2 linked regions of the Drosophila melanogaster genome follow. The protein of the gene in region 1 interacts with the protein of each later gene in a biochemical or structural test. Each region holds a gene or a part of one and is shown in the gene's direction. Other genes may lie near its edges.

The links. The genes of interacting proteins can lie anywhere in the genome.
Region 2: the proteins of Ubr1 (region 1) and Lsd-2 form a complex in vitro, tested with the Drosophila melanogaster proteins (one study listed by BioGRID).

What each region holds. Positions count from the first base shown.
Region 1 is NC_004354.4:16,964,856-16,972,290, reverse strand, and holds the start of Ubr1 (Ubr1 ubiquitin ligase), read left to right. Parts: upstream 1-3,611; 5' UTR 3,612-3,781; intron 3,782-4,429; 5' UTR 4,430-4,618; coding exon 4,619-4,796; intron 4,797-7,435. UniProt on the Drosophila melanogaster protein: E3 ubiquitin-protein ligase which is a component of the N-end rule pathway. Recognizes and binds to proteins bearing specific N-terminal residues that are destabilizing according to the N-end rule, leading to their ubiquitination and subsequent degradation.
Region 2 is NC_004354.4:15,070,093-15,079,923, reverse strand, and holds Lsd-2 (lipid storage droplet-2), read left to right. Parts: upstream 1-3,703; 5' UTR 3,704-3,983; coding exon 3,984-4,176; intron 4,177-5,549; coding exon 5,550-5,987; intron 5,988-6,532; coding exon 6,533-6,583; intron 6,584-6,956; coding exon of another isoform or gene 6,957-7,138; intron 7,139-7,275; coding exon 7,276-7,652; 3' UTR 7,653-8,461; downstream 8,462-9,831. UniProt on the Drosophila melanogaster protein: Essential for embryogenesis. Required for normal deposition of neutral lipids in the oocyte.

The sequences.
Region 1 (7,435 bases):
CATGCTTACTTATGTTACATATTTACATACTTACTTACATTTATATGCTTTTCCTACTACGAAGCAAACTTTAAGTGCATCAGGTGTATTTTAATTATTTATTATTATTTTGTAAGCCTGCAATTTCTCTATCACTTGTTTAACGAATTCTACAAAATCGATATAAATATATATAGTATTAAATATATATATTTAGATTTATTAATTGTTAACTTATACCGAAGTCTAAAGTCTTTAATTCAAGCCCGCTGATTGCTGACGAAAGTGAAAATGAGGATAACGTATCCAATTGCAGGTCTTCTCAAAGTTAAACCTAATTAATTTAATTTTGATAAATTTTCACGTGTAAACTTAGGTTCCGCAAATTTGTAACGAATGTGAAAACGAGGAAAGGTCATTTAGTGTGAAAGTGTGGATTCTCCAAAGGCATTAATGGGTACAATTTATTGGCAAAGTAGGCTAGATTTTGATTTGGGAGAAAATGTTTTGGCACTTTTGAAATTTATTGTAATCCAAATGGCATTGATTTCATTTTAAAATGTTTATTATTAGGGAAATGATTTGTCATTTTTATAATACGAGCTAGGATCAAAATATTTTGTATAGATATAAATTATTAACATTATTATTATGCTTATAATATTATTTAGTTTAGGTGGAACATTTAATGAAATAGTTTTTTTTTTAAAAGCTCGAACTTGTAGATCGTGTTTTTTCCCTAGAATAAACTCGAAAAACTTAATTCAGACACGAGCCATTAAATGTGGAGAACTAGTCACCAAAGTCGGGCAACTCGACTATATATGTTTCTGTATATTTCGGTTTATATGATTTCGCCGGCGAGAATCGAGTGTGAATGCGAATCGAGAAAACAGAGTAATTAGAAACAAAACCAAAGCAAGGTGATTCATTTATGCGACTGATTATTAACATATGTGTATTAAATAATTAACCAAACTGACGGAGCGAGAGGGGTGACGATGGTGTAACATGCCGGCGAGATGTCGATGTCCTTGACGTAAGGATACAAATGTAGGGGATTTACATTTACCTAATTGCTAATGGCGCATGGCGAATGCAGCGCGATATGTGTGTGTCATGGTGCATGTAATTCGTTTAGACCTCATTGTTGTTTCTTTACGTGTTCGTTTCGATGTGTATAAACATATAGTTATAATTGACTGAACGTTATTTTTTTTGTATATATTAACGATTAAATTTTAAATGAGATGTGAAAGCGAAATTGAGCGCGCTAATCGAATTCGAAACTTATTGAAACAATTGCACAAATCAGTCCAAATGAAAGATGGTGGAAATATCTTTTAAATAGCCAACAAGTGTTTGTGAGTAGTCATGAAAAATTTGGAGAGGAGAATTGAAAGCTTAATGCCCCATTGAATGTTTGTGATAGTCGAGAGTAGGCGACTATAAAATACCCTGTACTCCATTGATACTCATCCCGATCCCGATCGTGATCGCGAATGCGATTCTTCTCTCCCGACTTTCGGTGTGCAAAAGCTTTAATCTTCATATTCATTCGACGTTCAATGCTGTGGATACAGGGTATTTCCAGCTGTCTAGCATCCAAAACAGATCTAATTTTTAATCTAAATATATATATGGAGAGTGGATGGAGCGTAGATTGTGCCACACTAAAGACAAGTCCCAGGCTTGCAAAGCCCCCTATGTATATCGATCGCATTGGATCAGGACACATATGTTTTATACATATGTATATATGTACATATGTGGGGGGAATTGGTGTGCTTTAGCGAGAACTAAACCAAGAAAAAAAAACAAGTGGCGAAACAATTTTTTTTAGATTTTTTTACCATTAACATTAAACGGAAGGAGGAAGTTGCGAATTCCATATTTGAAATGGAATTTACTTGTCAAAAGCCTAGGTGTTAAATGTTGCGTCAATAAGCGAAATCGAAATTGAAATTGAAATTTTATTGTAGTGGGACCGACGAGAGGCCCCCGACTTCCGGAATCCAACTAAAACTAAGAAATCCAAATAAAACAATATAGTCAAGCTTTAAATGTTGTACACGATGGGGGGTCGCAGCCACTTGAAACCCAAGTTAACTAAACCAAATGAAGAGAATGCCCAAAAACAGACCCGAGAATAAATATGAATGTTAAACTTAACTAAACGATAAATGCATATTTATAAATGTTTAAAACAACAATTCTATAATAAACTAAAGGAAAACTATATATGTAATTGTGCTAAGGCAGAATTTAATGTATTCCAAGCTACCAAAGCGACAAAAAGCCATTAACTACGTGGAACCAAATAATGTAAACGCAAAGCTAACAACAAATACAAACTGCAACATACAACTCATTTCCCTAAAGTACAAAGGAAACGATGGAAAACCCACATATTCCGGCATGCTCCGGTAATCAAATTCGTACAAATTTAACTATTTTGAAAAATCTGTGCTCCGGTTTTCGAAATCGTAAGAAAGTTTTCGATTTGTAAAACGGACACTTTTGTCTATCCGAAATGAAAAGTAAATGCCTTTTTTTTTTAGCAAATCAGATCTTATTTTCAAAAGGGCAAATAATAGTTTACTCAGTGGTCTATTGATGTTTATTTCACATCACCACAAGATCATTTTGCCACTTAGTTATTTTATAAAAATTTTATTTCTGACCACACCTCAACATTGGTCAAACAGAATTTTGCCTTCGGCAACAAAAAGTTTCGATTTGGCAAGGAGTTATAGGTACATCGACAAGTGTTTTTGGGAAGAATTCCATATTGTTGGTGAAACGAAACAGGCAGATACAATATCAAAGAATTCAATAACTTATCTAGAGGATGGCCAAAAGTGTTGTTTGTAAATAATGCTATTTACAAAACCGGAGCACCTAATAACGAAATCGAAAGATTTTTCCCAAATCGAAATCGAAACAAAATTACGACTACCGGAGCATGCCTGATTATTTAGTTGAGCACAGAAACCACACCATCTAACACAAAAAAGACCAAAACTGGACAGTATTGAACGAAGTGATTTGGTTTCAAAACAACATCTCAGCATAAAGTATTCAAAGCCGAAATCGAACCGAATCCAAATAGATATAGCGAAAAAACGAACAAAACTATGTATTTCCAACAAACAGACACAAGTATACCAACAAAGCGATCCAAAGCAACTAAAAAACCAAAAAAGCGAAACAATAAAGACATTTTTGTGTGTATGTAAGATTAAATAGAAAAATCTGGTTTTGATATTTTGTTGTTTTTTGCATTCGGGGCTTTTAAATTAATCTGGGTCTTTAATTGATTGTATCCCTTTTAGATATATTTGGTTTTTTTCACTACAACATTTACCTAAAATGTACTATTGCTTATTGCAATTAGTGTCTAAACGTAAATACAGCGTGTACATTAGGCAAACAATTTGAAATCATCTTTAGTTTTATTTTGACAAATGGAAAACAATTTCAATTACCATATACATAACTGAATGGCGGAAAATGGATTTCTTATCGATAGCGATTGATGAGCAACTTCGTAGTGTGCACTCACTATTACCGCTCGCATGCTATCGATGTTAGCACGACCAGATATCGACGTACCGTATTGCCCGATAGACGCAGACATAAAACGCCTGCTTATATCGATGACAGTCTTGTTTTTTTGCGTTTAGGTTACGAAATTGGCAGACGAATCTTCGTTGTGCCAGTTGAAATAAGTAGATTTAACTAACAACACAGGTCTAAATTGCTCGTGAATACACCACGAGCCAAACAAAAAAAGAAATAGGTACGTGCAAAAGTTTGGGAAAATAAGAAAACGAAAGCGAAACGCAGTAGAGTGAATTTAAGTTGGTGTGCGTGTTCGTGTGTGTGATTGTCAGAAAGTGAAAAATAAAGAAAAAGAGAAGCTATTTTTTTAAGGTGCTAAGCGCACGTAAAGGCAACCAAAAGGAAAATTGTAGATAATAAACGATTATTATAAAAATATAATAAAACCAAAAATAGTGCCCGTGGCCGTGCATGTGTGTGCGTGTGTTTGAAGTTACTGTTTCTCGCGTTTTGCCATGCGCTCCGTCTCTCTTTTTTTTTTGCTTTTGCTTGCTGTCAAAAATGAAATAAAAAAAATCACAACTGGCTGATACAAAGGAAAAAGTGCAAAGCAACAGCTGCACACTAAGTGTTTCCTCGCCATTCGTACACAAATTTTTCCTCGATTGAATTGTCAGCTTTTGTAAATTTCGACACTGTTGTAAAAATATAATTTCTTTATTAACAAGTAAGTGTCTGTGCTCCAAAACAAGAATCGAAAATTCTTCTACGACATGAGAGCGAGAGCGCAATCGAACATTTTTGTTGTCCCGCATCCTAACCTAATCCCGTTTTTTTTGCTTTTCGCAAAAAACACATGTGACAACCAATGCAACAACAACATCAGCAACAACAACTACTGTCGCAGGAATAGCAAGGACACACGGACGATAGAGAAAGGAAGAAAGATAGAGAGCGAGACGTCCCCATCGCACACACGAACATACACAGCCCCGCTGCAATTATTTTGTTTTTCTCATCCTCACCAGGAAAGAGAAAAAGAGAGGAGACAGTGCGAGTGCAAGCGAGAGCAACGATGGATCGCTACGACATGGAGGACGTCGTTGTGGCGCCCCCTGCCGAGTGCAGTTCGCCGCTCAAGGAGTGGCGCCTCAAGCGCCAGGCGGGCACACTAGACCGCTCCGATATCATCGAGTTCTTAAAGCGCGAGTCTCCCAAGTATTTTGATTACCAGACTAGCGCTACAGTTAAAGGTGAGTCGAGATGCACAGTCATCGCATAGTCATAGTCACAATCCTTGATCGTAGGAATCTGCGGGAAGGGCTAAAAGATCTAATAACTAGTTTTATTGCGCTCGGGAAACAGCTAGTTTCTGGTATGACCCCATACATCAGAACTCAAAATTACGCAGGCAGACCCTGTATAGAGATATTAATGATACATATATAGGCATTGATCAATCCAATAGAAAAGAGTGCAATCGGATTGTTTTCAATTCCAAGAAAGGTTAATTTCAAAAAAAAAGTTTTCAAATAGGATACACCACTTTTTCGATTAAAAATAATGGTAAACAAATAATGGTAACTACCACAATGCCAAATCGATGGGGCGTCAAAAGTTGGCCGAATCCCATTAAAAACTCTCGCTCTTGAATTATCATTATTCGCCGTGTGTTTTAGTACTATTTTTGTTCTGCTTTCGTCTTTTGTTTATTGCCATTGAGCAATTGCACGCTTTTGTTGACTTTGTTGCTGTTCTCACGTTTCGTCTATTTCACATTTCCGCGAATTTGTTTTTCCTCGGCGCCGTGCCTTGCTGCGCCAAGTTTTCCTTTCAATTGGCCAGCCAAGTTTCAAGTTTGCCAGCTCGAAAATCGCCACCTTCTCGGTTTTCTACCTGTCTCGCCTTTTATGCACTCTCATCGTACACTGTGAGAAATCTTCTGATTGAATTAACACAAAAATTAATTCAGGCTCTTTTTCAAATGGGCAATCGAATGTTTCAATTCCTATCAGAGAAGATAGAAGATCTCTAAATACTAGCATAAGCAAATATTTTCATATTCAAGTTCAAAATGAATGACATTTTTTGTGGCAATTTTAAATTACCTGCACTCATTTTGGCCCAGTGTTTGCAAGTTGATCCAACAATGGCTCAAGCCCGGCCTGGCAACAAATGAATTAAGTAAACAAACTCGTTTTGCACCTAATTCCACCAGAAGTGAACATTATCCGAAGCTGGAGGGGCAAATGTGCGACTATTGAAACAAACAAATTGGGAGAATCTAGATTCCTAGGAAAGCACTTGAAGCCTCTCAAATTTGTCGACGACTTTCTGTTAATAAAATATTGATTTAATAGGAAATTGAGAAATAAAACGAGAGGAGTTGCAATTTTCCACGCGAGAAACTATTTGTTTGTATGCCAAGGATGGAAATATACAATACAAAAATATATTGATATTATGACCAATTTGTAAAACAAATAGTAGGTAATGGAAATCATTTCCAGTGTAGCTCCTTCAAGAACCCTCCTCATTTCCCGGCTTCATTGAGTAATCCGTTCTTGTCATAGCGAATATTTTTGCCAATTACTCAAACAATGTTTGCTTTCCGCTTTTGCTAATCGGGTTTTTACCCCATCTCATGGCTCTTATCGTTCCTTATCAGCTGCTAAGCATATGGAGGGCATGGGTACCAATGTTGTTATGTTTCCATGGGCATATACCATACCATACCATACCCCCTGTACATACATATATCCGTTCCGCTGATATTTGCCTGCTGTCTAATTGTACGTAGACTACTATACTCGAATCCCGATGCACAATGACGAATGCCACAGATACAGATGAGGTGGACAGCCGGATTTCGCAGAGAACGGAGACGAATCGCATCGCCAGACTTCGCTGCTTGCCGGACTGATAAGCCAGAGAGTTAAATATTAAATATACAGAAATATGTATTTGGAGGCAGTTTATTCAACCTGCGTTTATCTGGTCCAGGTGCACATCCGCGGAGGTCTTCTCGACCGCCTGACGTGTCCAGTTTTTGTCGATTTTCAGCGTTTATACATATCTCTGGCTGGTTCGCCTTATAGAGGCTATTCTGGTCTCAAAGTGCGAAGACATTTGCCTCGTGTCGTGTGTCTCAATAGAAATGATTCAAACTTGGGAAACTCATGTATTATTACACAAAATTTTTGTACAAATCGCTTGCACATTCTGCGAATTTAGTCTTTCTTTCTTATCTTTGTTGGATATCCACCTCATTCTAGGCGCACACAGATGTCTTGTTTCTTTTTCCGCTTTCGCTCTCGTTTCATTGTGCAAAAGGAGCAAACAGCTGACACATTTTTGGGCATAAATATATATAATATTTTACAAAAGGTGTGGGTGTGGTTGTCCGTATTTATCAAGATTTATATGCCCTCGATCGCCCACCACCTACCCTTGCAGAAATCAGAAATGCTCTTTGTAACGATCGTGTTGCCGCATTTGAGCCTTTAAATTTTGTTTCCTCTTTTCATCGAGAAATTTTCAGTACAACAGTGGGTGCCATAATTAATTTCCATGCTAAGGGCGAATGACCAAGATTTATTGGTTCGAAAAATATGCACAATTCATTGGAAGCTGTAATTACGTATGATGTTTGCAGTCAAGTTTAATATCGTTTAAATTATGCATATATTTTCGATTCAGTCACCTTTTGATGACGTCTTGTTGAGAGTTTAATTGAGTACTTTTGCTAAAAACTTTAGGAAACATTGTATTTACTTTTGTAATTATTGTTTAAAAAGTGATCTTTATATCATATTGTTACACACATTTGATCTCTTTTTGTGATCGTGCCTGTAGAATTGAGTGTACCGCTCCTGAATAATCCACTGTGATT
Region 2 (9,831 bases), 1.9 Mb from region 1:
AAATTGCGACTTTCCTATATTTATCTTCATTACATTTAATAATAAGATAACATAGCAAATTTCATTGTGATAGAGGCTGTGCAGAGGTCAAGTTACTTGAGACTCACGGCCTGTATTCGAATAGGTTTAGCTTAATTCTAAAGCTTACACAACTAGTTTAGCACCCATCAATTGAAATCTACATATTTATGTAGGCATTTTGGCCCATTTCAATGAATCTCAAAAATTTAATCGCCTCTGCAATTGGACTCTCGAGCAATTTGAACCCGTGTGTCACTAGATTGCGATAAGCATGGCGAACTTCGTTTAATAGGTGGCTTAAAGGCTTATACATCATAACGATAACCGGCGACAATTATAAAACAAAGGCATTAAATGAATGAAGCAGCGTATAAAAAAAAAGTATTCAAAACGCCCTTATCTGCAAAGTACAATCCATCTAGAAAGCAGTACGAAAAAAAAAAGGAAATAAAAACTTAATATAATCAGCAAGCGACTCATTCGCCTTTCACATGTGTGTACATACATGTGTATATAGAGGAACTCACTCACGCCGCTGATCCAAAGTCCAATATATGCCATCATTACCTGAATGTTTCCTCCTTCTATATATAGATCATGCCGAGGCTTCTAAAATTTGGCACTAGGTGCCAAAATACCGGAATCCAATGAAATTCTAGGCTCAACCGTTTGGGAAAATACCCGCAGACGGACACGCTTTGGGTCTCGATAACGGTATATATATGTATGTATGTATATATACATATATTCATATGTATATACATTTATATATGTATACATACACTGTTGAGCATATAGTATTCGGTCTGGGGCTTGTCTACGTGCGGCCAACTGCTAATCGGCTCTATATGCAGGTCTTGAGCGGATTATTCCGATTCCATATAACTTCTGTTGATGTATATACATACATATGTACATCCATATAAAAAGCTGAGGAAATCAATGATTTGAGCATTTCCAACAGTTTTTTTTTTTTTTAATTATAAATACTTTTTTGCTCAACCTACTAAAACGTAATTTAATCTTAACATTTCATTTCAAAATTATTCACCTTGATCAACCTATTTATCTGTAAAAAGAAAATATGAAATAGCTTCGTAATATACTCGTTACAAACCGTCCAATATTTATTCATTCCAGTAATCTTCATTATCAGCTAGTGAAATCAGTTAGGTAAACATGGTTGAAGTGATTTCCTTCGTTTACTGTAATTTCCAGATACCACGCCTACAAAGTCCACATAAAAAACTAAAATAAGTACAACAAACTGAACGAATCGGTTACATTGGTTTATTTACGTCCGATATCGCCGATCGGAACCCGGACCAAGTAGTGACGATAAGTCCAACACCTGCTCTTGGTTACAACATAAACAGTGTTGTGACGACATCTCCGGACTTTGGAACTACGGACGACTAGCCATTGGTAACCTTCCCAACTCGTGGGCCTGGTTAATATGCGCATTAGCGGTTAAGCCTTATCAGACAGACATAATTGCCTTATATAGCTCATAATTCACTGAGGGGCATTAACCCATTTTGGATTTTTGGAATCTAGGTGTTTCGAAAGATGGAGAATATTTTGATCCCTTGGGTTTTTTGGGATCTAATTGAAATCCAAGCGAATAAGGTTATTTTCCAAAGTTTTCATTAACTCTTCATCTAACTCAAGGAAATTATTCCTTTATGAACTTATTGTAGATTTTAGGGACTAAAAACGTGCTGATGGATGGTTTAAAAAAAAAGGAGGATGGTGCTTCGTTTTAGGGGTTAACTTAGCACGTTTCGCGCTTGTAGTTTTCGTAATTTGTTTTCGTTTTGTCACTAATCGGACTTTGGATTGCCAAGCGAATTACACAGCATTCGGCAAGTATTACGTAGAATACTGAATGTAGATGTTTGACTGTGCAATGGCGTATTATCGATGCGGTGGCAGGGGTTCAAAGGTCGCACGAAGCTTTTGCGTGGCGTTGCCCATTGGCCATTGATAATCGAAGTGCCCCCATACACAGAAATACATATGTACGTATGCACATATATGTACATAAATATATATTGCAATGTACTTCAATCTAAACTTTGTTTGCGCCCGACACAACGTATTAATTAATCTAGTTGTCAAGCATGCCGAACAAACGTAGGCACTGTCTCTCTTCTTTTCCCAAATTTCTTTCTTTCTCTTCAGCTCTCTTGTTTTCTGAACAGAATAATTGGACCCCCCTCCAAGGACAACACAGAAGAATTGCACTATGAACTCTGCATAGATCGGGAAAAAATGATCAAAATTAGTTTGATCATGATAGAAGAATTGTTTATAATTTGATAATGGTACATTCTTTCACCTGATTTTCTAATTATGTTTTACCTCGAAAATAAAGATAATGAAAATTGTTTCAAAACTATTTTAAGTTTCATTTAAAACAGATATAGTACACAATTGTACTTATTTCAAACAAAGCGTTTGTACTATAATAATTCATCATAACAATTTAAGTGTACTGTTCAAAAACTATAGTACATTTATTCATATTATAATTACAGTTTGTCAAGAAACTGTTTACACACTGTGAAATAAGTTGAATTTTTGACTTTAAAGCTAAAAATTAAGTGTTTTTTGCTTAATTAAACGCAATTTTTGTATAAAATAAAATTAAACAGTATTTATTTTACTTATAAATCAAAAAATAAATTAAATATAATTTAATTAAATATAAAATAATAATTCGCTTCAAGCAAAGTCAAACAAATTTCATTAGAAGCGTTGTAAAAAGCAATGCAAAGCCAAAAATAACGGAAAAATCGAGTTCGTTCTAAGAAAAAGAACAAAACAAAGTAGGAAAACAAAATGTGTAAAGAGTTTCTTGACAGTCTCAAAGGTGTGTAAACTTGGATTATGTTGTTTATTTTCTTGTATATTTAATATTTTAATATTTGTTTTTTGATTTATAAGTAAAATAAATATTGTTTAATTAAATTTTATAAAAAAAATTGCGTTTAATTAAGCAAAAAACCTTTAATTTTAGCTTTAAAGTCAAAAATTCAACTTATTTCACAGTATGTAAACAGTTTCTTGACAAACTGTATATGGGGTCCTCAAAGAGAGTCCTAATCTCAAACTCTCGCTGATACTGCTTTGGCGCTCTGCTCTCTTCGCAGCGAAGCTATCTTACAGCAGCAAACGATCTAGCTATTTTCAAGATATATGTTGCAAAGAAATGTTCCTAAGCTCATTTATATTATTTGGTTATTTTAACCTTTTTATTTGTTTAGCACTGTTTTTTCACTGTCTGCGATATTTTATTACATTATTATTATTTATTACTCAACATTTTTGATAAACAAATTTGTGTATGGTTAAGTACACAAGTTCGAAGATTTTAATATTATAATTATATTTTGTAGTAATCGTGCTTGTCAAAGCTCATGGTTAAATTTTAATAATACAAAGTGTATTATAGCCACATGACCCTTGACTAGGCATAAATCTTGGAAAAAACACACTGCGGTTTGAACAAAAAGTAAGCTCTATTGGTAAAAACTGTACTTTTTAGCTATTTGACTAAAATTTCCTCATCCACTTCTTGCCACCTGCGGCATCACTGTTGCTCATAGCTTTTTGTTGCTCGGCGCTGGCAACACTGGCGGCGGCACTCGCTCATATAATAAACCAGCCGCGCAGCTCGCAAATCAGTCAGAGAGTCCCAACGAGCAGACGTGAGCAGACGTGCCAAAAAGTGCTAGGAATAAAATAAAACAGAGTGCTTCCAGAACGCAGACACACGCATACCCTACATTCACACACTCACTCGCAGGTTAAGCTGTTTTTTTGTTCGTGAAAGAAAAGAAGCAAGAGGCGAAAAGAAAAGTGCGGTGGCAAGCGGAAGAGCTTGATAGCGAAAGACAGAAAGAAAAAGTGAAAAGGGCAGCAGAAAGCAGCGCAAGAGGAACCAAAGAAAACTGATCATGGCCAGTGCAGAGCAGAAACACGCCACCGGGAACGGAACAACTGGCAATGGAACGGCGATGAACGATGTGGACCAGCCCAAGGATGCCAAGGACCTTCTGCCGCACCTTGAGTCCCTCGAGAGGATCATCAAATTGCCCGTGGTAAATGCGGCATGGGACAAGTCCCAGGATGTCTATGGCAAAGTAAAAGGTAAGTGCAGCAAAGGAAAACAGAAGAAAATGAAAATAAGACCTCCTCCGGGTGCATTGAACTCGCTCAAGTCCCGTTACTTTGGCGCGCCTAACGGCACATATAGAGAATAAACGACCGGTGAAGGAGGAGGTAAATAGCAACAACAATTGCAGCGACCATATGCACTCGAAGCCGTAATCGAAACCGAAACCGTTGCTTTTTTGACTTTGCTTCGCCATTTTATTTCGAGTTGCAATTCGAACTCGAAACGCACATAGAGGGCAGAAACAACTTTTTTTTGTTCAACTTTTTTTTCGTTTAATTGGCCAGAAATTAAGCTCAATTGATATAAATTGATTGCCGGTCGTTCAATAATCGAAATCACAGCAACAACAACCATGACCTAGCAATAAGAAAAGCAAAAAGGCCGGCACTTTGCCCTCGTGACGCGTTGCGTTCAAAGTTCGCTTAAAATTTACATAATAATAAAACAATCTTGGCCAACGCAATAGAGAGCGCAAGAGAGATAGAGTGAGGAGAGAGAGAGCGGTGGCTGACGGCAAAAAGGCCACCGCACGTAGGCTGCAGCCGCAGAGGCGCCGTCAACAAAAGGGGGCTCGTTTTGACAAGAGGAAAAGCAAAGCAGACCCAATGGCAACGCCACTGGCACTGGCAGTGCTGCTCGATCTGACCAAAAGTTAAGCTAAACTTGCACTTTAATTATAGCTAAAATAATGTTACTAGTTTTCTTCTCAATATTGATCCCAGCCTAAGTTTGCCGATCGTAAAAGCACAGATCCCTGAAAAAACAAATACTTAATGCATTTACTAGACAATACCAATTACCGCTGTCGAATAAAGCTAGATTTGGCTGGAAACTAACTAAAGCGGGCAGCACTTATGCTAAGGGGCTCTTGGGGTCTCACCGTCAGCAGCAACGACAACAAAAATTCTAGTTGGACTTTCGACTTGTTTGTGATATTTCGCAGTTGTTGTTGCTGCAGTTGCTGGGACTGGAATTGGAATGGATGATGTGTTTGACGAGTGACGAACTATCAAAGTCTAAACTGGCGGGCCCCAGACAGATAGAATGTAGGGGTCCAAGGGGCCCTGGGGTTCGTGAACTGCGCAGTTGCTTATCAGCCAGAAATGCTACATATTTATTATTACTATTATTATTGTTATTGTTATTATTATTACGGTTGCAACTGATAAGCGCGCTCTTCGTACTTGTGTCACATGTGTGGGGTATTACTACACAATTCTAGAAATTCTAGAAGTTCTAGATCTCTAAATTAAACAGGCTGTTAACTTTTAAATTAAACTTATACTAAGACATATAATTTCCAATCCGTATTTTTCATCGTAATGTGAACTACTCATATTTTCAGGCAAAAATCGTGTCTTCGAATGGGCTTTAACGGCGGCCGAGGATTGTGTGACGCGCGCGGTGACAACGGCGGCTCCCTTCGTCACCAAACTGGACCGACCCATCGCCTATGTGGACCAGACCCTGGTCAAGGGCATCGATAAGCTTGAGGTAAAGGCGCCGATCATCAAGGACACACCCCAGGAGATCTACAACCAGGCCAAGAGCAAGGTGATCGATGTGGTGCAGCCCCATCTGGAGCGCGTCGTCAAGTTCAAGGCAGCTGGTCAGCAGAAGGCCGCCTCGCTGAAGGATCTCGCCTGGCAGAAGGCCAACGAGGTGCTGGCCACCCAGTACGGCAGTCTGGCTGTCAACGGAGTGGACACCACCACGGCGCTGGCCGAGCGCCTCCTTGAATACTACTTCCCCAAGTGCGAGTCGGATGTCGAGGAAGATAATGGTGAGTGTTGACGGTAGAGTTACAAAAAAGTAGGTCACAATGTTAGGGTACTTTTGTTTATATATTTGTTCATTGGAGCCGTAGAACAGTGGTTTCACTTGGAATCTCTCAATTGCCATGACGTAAAATTTAATATAATATAAGTTAGTTGATGCAACTTAATTGAAATCTTGTTGTACATTTCATTACGTTTAAAACTACTTTTTTAATTTATTTAATATCAAATTCATAAGATCATTTTGACTTCACTTGAATTAATAGTCTTGTCCTGTCGTACTTCCATTATAATTTTTATATATATTCTCTTTGACACTTCTTTCTAAAAATTAAAAATACTGTCTTCAGAGCGAATAAGTTTAGAATTCAGTTTTATTTAAGAACTCTGGATGATGGTGGAGAACATTATTTATTGGCTCCGTACCATTTTTCATCTGTTGGCACAAAAATTTAAAATTAGCTTGTTTGCCTTCTGCTGCCCTCACTTTTTTTTGCGCGGTGTGTAAACAAAATTCTAAATATAAATCGTAAATATTTTTAATTCTCAGATGATAAACAAAATGCCGTCGTGCAGAATGGCAAGAGTTCTGAAAATGACAGTAAGTTCCCGATCCCCGATCCGATCTTTTGTTCGTTCGATCGTTTGTTTCTTTGTCTACCACTAACACACCGTCTAATAAGCATAAAAATAGCAAGTAAATAAAAAAGCATGAACACTAATCAAGCATGGCGATAATTTCACACACAAAACGAGAACAAAATGGGAATATAATATACAGAAATATTTACGATTTCGAGTCGAGCGATAAATGTTGGCTAGCCTTGGGATTTCCGAAACCCAGATCCTGATCCTGGTCCTTTCCCCGCCCCTAACATTAATTAACCACCCAACCCCCACCAAAAAGTGACACTTATTTTCTAAATTAATATCTCTCTCTCTCTCTATCTCTCTTTCTCTGTGCCATTTGTTAGTTATTATTGTTGGGGAGAGCTACGACCGGGATCACGATCAAGAGATTGATGATAGATTCTTAGTGGCCGCCTCGACGGTATTTCTGTCCATGTCCCTGAAAATCATAACCGAAATTGTTGAGTACGTTAGAAGAAATCCAGAGATCGTAGGCATTATCGATAGGGAACTCAACAAGTTTATGGTAAGCACACACAAGCCCACACAGCGCCAAAGTTACTAATCAATCAATGACTTGTTTATAACCCGTAACAAATACTCAAATTACAATTGCTTGCTTCCCTCGTTAATGGTGATTGCCTTTGCTCAATTTACTTGTAGTGCCAGTTCCCGCCAGCGAGGATCCAGTCCTACACACAGTACAGACAGTTGGACGGCTATCCAATAAGATCTCGCGTCGCGTCTATCGAAATGTCTCCCGACAGATCAAGCAGGTCCAGAAGGGCAACATCAACGACTATCTGAGCTCCCTGATAGCCGCCCTCAAGTTGCATCAGTACATCAATTTTATTAACTCGTCGATGGGCACGAATGTGGAGCAGTCTGGTGGCAGCAGCAGTGACGCCTGTTCGCCATTTGGAACCACCACTAGCACCACTACCACCACTACCACCAGCTCCACCAGCAACAACAAGCCCGTTGTTGCCTTGCCACATGTGGCCAAAAGCAAACGGGCGCCGGCGGTGTCGTCTCAGTAGTGGAGAAACAGCAGCTCATCTACAATTATATCTATCTATAGCTAGATATTATCCTCTTTCACGCACGCTCACCACCTAAGATACCCCTCTACCTACCACCCACGCCGCCCATTTTATAATGTATTTTATAAATTCTTTTTTTTTTTTTATTGCGTACTATTTCATTGAGTGTACTAGCCGATACGAGTAGTACTTCCATAGAGGATCATTTAAAGTGGAGAAGGTTATTCGAACGCACGCCCAAGAAGTCCGCCTCCTCCTGCGCCACCTGCTTTGTAAATATTTATTTGAAGTATAGCCCTCACCAATCCTAGTTATAAGATATAGTAGTCGCAGAGATCCGGGAGTCAGAAGAGAGCGTTTTTTTTTCGTCAATTTTAGCTGTGCTAAAGTGCCACGCATGCATTGAATAATACATTATAAATATATACACACACACCTATATATGCCTAACATATACGCAGATATATGATATATATACATATAGAGAGAAACACACGCACACGGTTGGCATAGTGCGGTTTAGCTGTACGTATACGTAATATAATACCTAATGCTATTTCTATATCTATTTAAATTCCATTGTACGCTCGCTGGGAGCCCAACCAGATGATGTTTAATTGCTAATGAAAATGAATTATGCCTAATATATATCCATACATATATATATATATATATAACACAACACCCCCCCCCTCTCCCCTCACACACTTGTATGGAGAACCTAGCCATAATGTTTGCTCTAAACAACTAGATTGATAATATTAAATATTAATAAAAAGAACCAACGCAAAACTGGAACGAAGAACAAGAGAATTGCCAACGAATTTCTTTTAATTATTTTTGCCTCTGCCACTCGATGATGAGCGGAAGGGGGTGGGGGGAGAAGGAGGAGCGCTGTAGCTCCTTCTGCCCCCTATCTGATTAGGCGCCTTATCGGGACAGCACTGTACGGTCCGCTGATTTATTTCGAGTTCAGTGTAGAGTTCAGTCGCTGCAGCGAATGAATTTATGGAGCACTTGCTGCCCAGATAAGGCTATATGTATGTATGTATGTACACAATGTTTCCGAACATGTGATATTAAAGTGCGTTTTGCTCGAAATCGGAAATCGCTGCTAAAACCATGTGCTTCATAAATGTATATCAACTAAATGTTTCAGCGCACACTTCAGTTACAAATATTAGCTGGCTAGATAATACCTACATTTTTCTTTAGTTGTTAGTTACAATGACGTATGGGAACTACTTCTGCTTGCCCATTTGGCCCAGTTCCAGTTTTAAGTTCCCACTTTCTTGAGCCGCACTGTCGCCCAGTGGACTTGTGACTCTGTCCCTGTCGATAATGACGGCGTTAATGGCCGTGCAATTATCCGTCTTGTAGATTGGGCAAAACGTCGACGTCGGCTTCTCGGAGTTTCCTTTTCATTTCGTTTGGCTTCGCCACTCCACTTCCTTTGCGGATTCTCCCCTGATGCTCCACCATCTCATTTGTATGCTCCACGTCTGGCCGATCGCTTTAATTTGCGCTCCCGACCAGAGGAACATGCCAGGGGCTCAGGTGTCTGTCCAAAGTCTGGACTAGGTTCCAGTTTGAACGCCTGGTGCCTGGGGAATCAATCTCAGGTCCAGGCCCATAACCAGACCCAGCATACTTGGCATAATTTTGAGTTTTGCGAAATGCATTTGGTTTGAAAATATTCATGAGTTCGGTCTGGCCAGAAGAGGGCTTCGCTGAGGTATTGGTATTTCTTGTGGAACCCATGGAACCCATGACTTGCTCGACGGGTTCCGAAACCGCAGTCTAACTAATGCGGCATGCACAAGGAGAAAAAATTGGTACAAAGTAAAATCAATCACTTTTGAAAATTACTTTCAAAATAACTTAGATTTTAATAATTGTAACTGGTAACTAGTAGAATACCTAGAAATGCGCAATTCTTATCGAATTTGAAAAGCTTAGACCAATTCTCCGTATTATGAGCGCAAAAAATTCCATTTTCAAATAACATTCATTAATAGCCATGATTGTCTTATTGGTTCTTTTCGATAGAAGAATCATTATTGATATTTTGATAAGTAAATCTACTCCTTGTGCTCTACAACACAATTGTAGGACTCTTGATACCATATTGATATTGATAGGTAAATCCGATTCTTCCGATTGAAGACTTGATGCC